2 linked regions of the Xenopus tropicalis genome follow. The protein of the gene in region 1 interacts with the protein of each later gene in a biochemical or structural test. Links are inferred from orthologs where the notes say so. Each region holds a gene or a part of one and is shown on either strand. Other genes may lie near its edges.

Region 1 (4,562 bases):
TCTTCTCTACCCTGCTCAGGGTATGGGGAGACTTAAGGGCACTATTGAGACAACTGAAGGTATGCTTGCATTTTGAAATTAACTATTTATTAGCCTTTCCTTCTCCTTTAAATCTAATAAGACCTCAAGTATTTTGTGCCTATGATTAAGTGCTGCTTAAGGGACGAATTCATGCGGGAACGAAATGTTGAACACTCTCCAGTGATTACAATCACTTACCTGATACCTTAGTCTGGCGCGCCTTTTAGCAGAAAACGGCACCGACCCAGGGGACCTAAGCGAGAACCATGGATCAATTTTTTTGTTCTTTAATGGCCCTGGGCTGACACCTGTGCTGAAGAGTGAAAAAGGTGTTTTTTTGCTTAAAAGTCGGCTTTTCACTCCACTGATCATGCACATCTGCCAAGAATAAGGAAGAATATTGCATTGTGGTGCTCCCTCAGAAGTATCCTAGGAAGGTGCCATTTTTTGTACTTGCTGGGTTTATCAGGTAAGTGATTAGAATCATTAGAGGGAATCTAATGTTAGAAGTTAGGAGTCTAACTAACATTTCCTCTGGCAGGCTTGACTTCAAAGCTGAAACGATTCATAGGCCGGAGCTGTCGACCCCCCATTTCGGGAGTTACCTGTTTTGAAGGCTCTACCCAATTCTCCCACCCCCAGCAGCATTCTCTCGATTTTTCTGAAGTCTCATGAAGTCCAGTGGTGAATTTCGGGCGTGCATGTGCAGTAAGCGTTTAGTGATGTCATTTAATGCATTTGCGCATGCACAAGTAGAATTATTTGTCTTCAGCTGCAATTTTGCGCATGTGCATGACGTCACATCTGGAAGTGTGCATGACGTTCATAACATCACTTCCAGGTATCGGGGGGGGTAAATTTCCCAGTGCATTCCGCGTAGGTAGGCCTTTTTCACCTATTGTTTCCAGGAGAAAAGTATTCCGGAACAGTCTGTCACCTGTGGTAGCAAATATCTATCTCAGGCGACTAACTCGCTCCGTGGCCCATCAGTCTTAGAACCTCCTACCTTTGAATCCACCAGAAACTACTCCACAAAAATGAATACTTTGCATCAACCATCACGTTTAGAGCAAGAAGGTGAACATGAGCTAAAAAGCATCACACGATGCAGATAAAGCCACGTTAAACCACAAAATGAACCATGTGTGCCAGCGGTGCTCAACCTGTGGGTCAGGACCCCTTTGGGGTCGCCTGGAAAACACATATTTCCGATGGTTTTAGGAATAATTTTATGGTTGGGGGGTCACCACAACATGAGGAACTGTATTAAAGGGTGGCAGCATTAGGAAGGTTGAGAACCACTGATGCATGAGAACATCTATGTCCTATTACATTTCTAGCCAGTAAGAATTGTGGCTCCCTCCAGGTCACCTGTATCTACAACAGTGCAACCTTGGTCCGCCAAGAGCTGTAAAAAACATTAGATATTACTAAATACCAGTGTTAAAAGGAAAACGTCTTGCCACCTCTTAGCACTTTTAGTCTAGACGGCGCAGACAAGGTTAATTTCCCAAGACAGCGTGAAGTGACGCGAAGGCGTGCGTATCCCAGCGCTGCTGCTGCTGTGTGGCGTGGCGGTGGCGGCGCCGTGCATGGGGCTTGTGTACGCGCACGGGGAGGTGTGAGAACTCGGGGAAAGCGGCTGGCGGCGATTTACGCAGTAGGGTGACGGGATTTTATCGGGATTCGGCTAGGCGACAGATAGGAGCCCTGGAGTTTTGGTGAGTAAGCAGGAGTGGGAGAAAATTCGGTGTGTGCTTATATAAAAGGTTTCTGTACTTTTGCTATGCGGGGCTGCGTGTATGTGTATAGGCTATAAGGGGGGAGGCGGGCTAGTTGTAGACTTCCATTTGTTATCTTATTGCTTGTGGTGTAAGGAAACTATTGCCTGGCTGTCGCAGGATGCTGGGAGCTGAGGGCCATGGCTGAGCTGTAGATTTTGTCGTTGTAGTATGGGTGCTTTATTGCAGTGATTCCACTCCAGTTTTACACACATTTTAGCGCAGTCCTTAATGAAATACATTTTAACTTCGCTTTGAATGTTGTAAGGTTGTAAGCTCAAATCTGAGCTCTTCATTACCTTTGGTCACCTCTGGGCGTTTGTTTAGTTTTTATTTGCAGTTTCTCCACCATCTTGTTCTTCCCCATGTGTCGATTCTATTTACTCTTTACTCACCTTTCTTCATGTTTGTGCAATGTAAGATAGGGCCCTCCAGGTGTTGTTTAACCACAACTTATCAGCTTGAGGGGTAGAGGCTCTGCCATTGCAAAACCCCACTCCCTCTCATGTTGTTATGTCTGGCCCTTTACTGGAATGTCGGGAGTTGTAGTTTAGCCCAGCTGATGATCCACAAGTTTAATATATGTTTTAGTCTTGTTACTCATGTTGGAAAATGTTTTGTTTCTAAAGTCGTTTATATTTTGAATATGTTCTAATTTATTGCTTTTGGTAATTTTGCATTAAAATTTTGAATATATGCACATATTTTGTTGAAACATCTCTTGCAAACTTTAACAGTGTAATAAGCAAAATGGCATTTCATAGTAAGATCGATCACAAAATGAGAAGTCTGTTTCGATTTACATATTTTCGCTACCTCTCAATTCTGTAACCCCTATTCATATAATTGAAAATGAAAAAAAAAATTATTTGGAAAAAAAAAAATATACATATTTTGGTGGAGTGTATTCTTAGGGTCTCGAGCAACAATGTTGAACTTTTCCAGTATGGTTGTGTTTTGGCATCATCTCTTGCATGCTTTCTATATTTGTGTAGAATATTCATTGGTTTGGATTCCTCTGTACTGTTTTACAGTACATTTAATATGGTATAGTCAGATAGCAGTTAAGTTAGGTTTAAACCAAAAAAAAAAGTAGACCACTTCAAATATTTAGAATTAAATGATGGAAAGTGATAGCAATTGTGTGACATTGTTAATTTTTCAGAAAACGTTAACACATTATGTGTGGATGTTAAAAACATGTACAGGTAAGGGATCCCTTATCTGGAAACCTGATATCCAGAAAGCTCCGAATTACGGACAACCTGTCTCCCATAGACTCCATTTTAATCAAATAATTCAGCTTGATTTCCTTTTTCTCTGTAAAAATAACTGCTATGTATTTGATCCCAACTAAAATATAATTAATCCTTACTGGGTGCAATGTAATCCTATTGGGTTTAATTAATGTTTTATTGATTTTTTTTTTTAGTAGACTAAGGGGCACATTCATCAAAGTACGATTGTTTCTAAATACAAAAAAAATGGTATTTTTTCTAAGTTTTCGTACTGTGCGCATTGTTTTGCAACTTTTGTACTGTGCGACAATTTGCTCGACAAACTTGTATTTGTTGCGTTGAGTACTAAAGTTTTGGATTCATTAAAGCTTCGTTATCGTTACTTTCCTTGGGCCAGGTTGGAGCTGCAGAGTGCCATTGAGTTCTATGGGAGGCTTCCAAAAACATGCACTGAAGAATCAGTCAGTTTTCCCGCCATTTATGATCGTTCGGATACAAAATTTTCGTGACTTTCGTAACGACATTACGATATTATCCTGCTTATTATGATTTTTTTCGTGACATTTCCGATCATCAGAAATTATCGTATTTGATCCAAATTTTGCCCATTTCGGGATTCAAACTCCTACATTGATAATTCTGCCCCTTAAGGTATGAAGATCTAAATTACGGAATGACCCCTTATCTGGTATACCCTTGGTCCTAAGCATTCTGGATAATAGGTCCAATACCTGTACCTGGCATCGCTGCAGCTTTCTTTTAAAGTTACTTACATTCATAATACTCCTTAAATATTGGGTAGACGAGTAACTGTATGTACAGCACTGCAACATATGTTGGTGCTTTATAAATGTAGTAATAATAATAACCTAATACGCTATGACGTTTCTTTTAATTTAATCGGGTGTTTCTCCCAAAAACTTTGTCCATAAGAGGAGAATATATAATGCTAAATAGGGATGCACCAAATCCACTGTTTTAGGATCCGGCTGAACTCTGAATCCTTTGTGAAAGATTTGGCCGAATACCGAACCGCAAATTAGGACTAGAAAGGGTTAAAGTGTACCACACGCTCCATGTGCGGTGAAAAATGTTCAGCTTCCGTGTGTAGGTGACAAAAAGTCCAGACCGAATCCTGGATTCTGTGCATCCCCAATGCTAAGCCACTGTCCAATATATACATTAAAAAGTATGTGTATATCTTTAACAACAGATTTGTTGCGATGCGACCAATCTCTTAAGCTGGCCATACACGTGGCGATCTAACGATGTCACATCGTCAGATCCGCCACACACAGTCAGGTCTGAAACAGCAGATAAGGAGGTAGAAACAATAGGATTTCTACCTCCTTCTGCCGATTCAGCCCTGACGGCAGATTTTGGTCAGGCGCCTTCTATGGCGCCCAATCAAAATTTTCTAACCTGGCCGATCGGCGAGTCGTCCGATATCAGCAGCTTCCTGCGATATCGGTCGACTTGCCGACATGCCATACACGCACCGAATAGGTTTCGTACGATAGTA
Region 2 (4,533 bases), on another chromosome or scaffold:
TTATAAGGCTTCTGTTTAATAGTTGTAGCTAAGGACTTACTGATTTTTAGCATCAAATAGCTAAGAACTGGAGCAGTATCAGATGACCATTAAAAAAAACATGCACTGACAAAATGTCAGGTTTCACCATTCCACTGAAGAGAAGTTCTTTTTTTAATTACTACAATTAGATGGTCTAATGTAAGACCAACCCAACTGGTCTGATCCTCGCAGTAGGATTAGGCAAGACCTGTAGGACATGTTTAAGAGATTACCGCTTTATTAAAGGAAATGTATCTGAGGCCTTAACTTGCTGCATATTTAGCTAGTTGGTATAATGCATCCAACAAACTGCAGAACATGTCTATGAGTCATGGATTTTAGAATGATGGGTCACACTCCTAGCGTAACCCTCTATAGCAGAACCAGGCAGGAACATAAAAAAAAATCTAGTACATCTCAAAACAGCAAGTTAGTAAGGGAGGTTCCCAAGAGTCTACTGTCTTGCAAGTCTTAACTGCTTATAGACCACACCAGGACAGGTTTATGGCTATGGCGCTGGACACCTTTACTTCTAAAATAATTTACCCTGTACCTCCAAATGCCACAGTCTAGTATATGGTTAGGGATAAGGCTCCCTTTACTAATTTTGCAGGAAACTGAACAACAGAAAACAATTTACAAACTAAAATAACTAAAAGGATGTTACACTATGTAAGTACTGACTCACACCTTACGGCAGCTTTAAGAAAAGGTCTGGGCAGGTGTTTCAAATGCTAATAAGCGTGCCTTTGTTTTGGCTGTTACAATGCACTACTCTGTGTTAGTTTGTTTAGGCATATGCATATTTAGCATGTAAATGCAAGAATGTATAATGAATAGGCTGGTCCTCCTTGCAGTGTAAGCTACCAAGAACAATTAGGGATAATTAGATATGCGTATGTGAAGTACATTCTTGTTATATATGTGATCAAAGAACCAAATTATATGTGTCTGATAAAAAGTGAATCAAGTCTCATTATTAGAAATAAATCAAATATTACTTGGAGTTGGCCAAAGTAGAAAGCAACAAGGGAGAGTAAAGGAATTGCAGGTCCCTGGCTGTCATATTGGGGTACTGTATCAATGTAGAGGTGATACCTCAGCAAGGATATATGAAGATGCTTTGGATCTACAATGGCATAATTCAGAATATAATGATATTGCGAATAGATTGGTGTCACATGAGGATACTTATCCATGAATAAAAGGGGTACTCTCTAGGTTACTCAGACATAATACATGGAAAAGGAGGAACTTGTTATACTATATACTCAAAGAATACAATTGCTGCACTTCCTTACACATATCAGAGGAATAAATCAATGTAAAAACTGTGTTAATCCGGATGAGAATAAGATGGGGATCTTGGGGTATTCCAAGCAGTTTGGGAAGGTTAACCCCCCAAAAACACTTGCAGAACATAGCTAGCTTATTCGTTTTCCATAGACAGAGCAGTAAAGTAATGGGGTCCCCACAGATGAGAGGAGTACTCTGTGTGGGAGAGAAATCGCTGTGCTGCTTCTGCCATACCCTAGCGGTAGGTAGCTGGGGCTGCTCTGGAGAAGGGGGGAAAGGGCGGATGGTACAGTCCGTCATTTTTCAAACTTTGCCTATCCGGGGCCGAAAAGGGATTGTAACTACTCACCCTCATGATGGAAGCTCCTCACGGTGTTAGCCCGGCTGGTCGGTCTCTCCGGGTACTCCATGCTGATATCGTGTAGTTCATCCTCCTCCTCCGCTGACTGAAGCCTGTACAGGTCCCGCATATACGCGGGCACCACCACATCCTTACTGGGCTGCGGCCGCTTGCGGAGGCCGAACATCTGCAGCAGCGTCACCTCGAAATCCCGCAAGAGCTCATTGCTCTGAGCGGACCTTCTACCTCCCTGAATCTCGGCCACTACTTTCTTCTTGCCCGTCTCAGGTATCAGGCTGGCATGGTTAGTGCCTCCTAGCAGGACTTGGCATAATAAAATGACCATCAGCATTCGGTTACCAGGAATCATGGTGTCTCTGGAGGGTGCAGAACAAAAATACATGCAAATAAATAGGGAGGATCTGTAGGGGATTAGACTCAAATCAAGTGATAGAGCGGGATCAAAGCAAATAATAGGACAAGGACAGTTCCACTGAGCCACCCGGGGCAGGGCGAGAGGGGGGGTGCCTGGGGTTTCTTGGGCTATAACTTGTTCCCAGTCACATCCCTCATTATCAGATAGTCACCGCCATCCTGTTGCTAATCTGACTGTGAGCGTCTCCCGGGCTCCAGACAATTAGCACCAGTCTGACTCCTAGCACGATCAGCAGCTATAGAATTGCCCCTGCCATTTGCCCTTTTGCAACAAGTGCCAGCGCTCCGGGCAGCTGGATCATGTGTTCTGCAACCCGATAGCCCGCGATGTGTCGGCGCTACAGCTGTGATACATGCCGCTATCAGTCCCCCTCCGGCACAAGCGCACGTAACGCTCGGCTATCCAGCTGCTAAAGAACTACAACACTCCGACCCCCCCACCCCAGTTCAGCGAACCTGGCCAAAGAATGTTGGTACTTGTAGTTCTCCAACACCTGGAGCGCAGAAGACTGACTTGCCGTTCTAGATGTGTAGCACACTTCTGTCCTAGAGCGCTGCGGGGGGGCTCAACATTGTCTCAGGTCCTGCCATAGCCTCAGCAGTAAGTACCCAGAGCCGTGGGGTTCCTATGCAGGAGGGCAGCTACGGGCAAAGTACACAAGGGGGGAGATGAAAAATACAGAATGAACAGAAAGTCTACTCACTGACAGAAAACAAGGCATAGAAAAACAGTCCATGATTCTTGACTGCCAATCTTGGACAGAAATTTGTGGAAAAGCTCAGTGGGACTCGGGACGCAGTTTGCAGATGGAGATGATACTATGGAACTGGTTCCTAAAATGAATATTGGAATATAATGAGAGCGCAGCCAGCAGGACTCTTCTTTTACTCCCAGCCCCTTTTGCGGATCACGTGGGGGGCAAATCACTCCGGGAAGCCGTCAATCAAGGCAGCGGCCGGCCCACCCCGCGGCCTATATTAGGGGAGGGCTCAGCCCAGACTGTCCGAGCAAACTTGTGTGCGTGTGGTACCGCTAGCAACGGCTCGCCTTTCTACTTGGCTCCGTGTGCCGGGCTCATCTTTCCTTATGCTCTAATCTCGTGTTAATGAAATTGCCATCAATGTACAGGGAGCCGGACTGTGCTTGTAACAAAAACATGACTGTCCTACGCTTTACCTCAGCCACGAACAATTGCTTGTCTCGCTGCCTGTGTCATGGGGCAATCGGAGGCGTTCATGTGAAACGCCTGACATTTTGCTGTACTTGACTAAAGAAGGCTGTCATTTTAATAGCCCTGCTAAGCCTGCTCATCCAAGAAAGCGTTAAAAGGCCATTGGGACTATAAATGAATCGATAGACTCGTGGTGTAGTGCAAGGGCGCACCTTCCTCACCTCAGGCTATTTCTGTGTGAAAGACTTATTACATATCCCGCTAATTCTCACAGGAATACCTCAACCCAATAACCTAGACTACCCCCCACCCACCTCACCCACCACAAACTCAGTCATCCCCGAGAATATCTGCCCCTGTTCACTATACTTGTCACTGCAACAATCGCGTCTGTAAACTCGATTTCCTCCCAACACCTTACTCATTTTTACCAGCCTACGCTCCGCCATGTCCTTCATTTATAATGTGCAAAAATCATTTCTAGGACTCCAGCCTATCTTTACTATTATCATCGAGCAATAAGTTTGGTTACCAACCGTACTGGGGATGTTTGGTTCAGAAGGAAGGGGGGAGGTGTTCTCAGAATGGAGGGCAACCAGCTATTTATTCTAAATACAACTATATTTACCTTCCCCTGCAAAAAGAAGGTATTGTTAACATTGTGAAACGATTTGCACCTTGATTTGTAATCAGTGTTAAATTTAACATACAGTAGTGTAGCTTTGTGGGGGTGGAAGTCTTTGGCACCTGTGGGGAGACAATCAGCTACTGGGAACACATTGTTGTCTGGCTGTACCAGTTCATGTCACTTTACAGAATTTTATACCATCATATTTCACATTATCAGGTGTGGTTAAACCGAATTTACTGATCATTTGTGTTAAAATACCAGCAGAATTAGTAAAGCACAGTGACTTATTGCCAGTGATAAGGAAATTTAAAATAATGTTTTTAACATGTATACTGTATCCTCCAGTGAATGCATTTGCTTTGACCAAAACTCTTAAGCCTAGTGTATACAGTAGTTTTATCTGTAAGGCTCTTTTTATTCACTGTAAAAGTGTAAAAAGTAATCATAACCCATGCCAAAGTCATTTATGGCAGCATAAAAAAGCAATATGCACTTTGCATTTTAAGGCAGTTATACTCGGTGCCAGAGACAAAGCCGGCACACTGCACACCCTTCTGTCACTCACCAGGTTTTCTAGGCCAGTCATTAGGAATTAGCCATTTGTCCTGGAGACAAAAATCTTCATCCTGTGACTTCTC

What was found.
Region 2: the proteins of bmpr1a (region 1) and bmp4 form a complex in vitro, tested with the Homo sapiens proteins (3 studies listed by BioGRID and IntAct, with this or other methods). The link is inferred for Xenopus tropicalis from reciprocal best matches to the Homo sapiens genes BMPR1A and BMP4.

Annotation. Positions count from the first base shown.
Region 1 is NC_030683.2:49,285,393-49,289,954, forward strand, and holds the start of bmpr1a (bone morphogenetic protein receptor type-1A), read left to right. Parts: upstream 1-1,532; 5' UTR 1,533-1,742; intron 1,743-4,562. UniProt on the Homo sapiens protein: On ligand binding, forms a receptor complex consisting of two type II and two type I transmembrane serine/threonine kinases.
Region 2 is NC_030684.2:94,978,949-94,983,481, forward strand, and holds the start of bmp4 (bone morphogenetic protein 4 precursor), read right to left. Parts: upstream 2,946-4,533; 5' UTR 2,797-2,945; exon of another isoform or gene 2,549-2,796; intron 2,035-2,548; 5' UTR 2,028-2,034; coding exon 1,667-2,027; intron 1-1,666.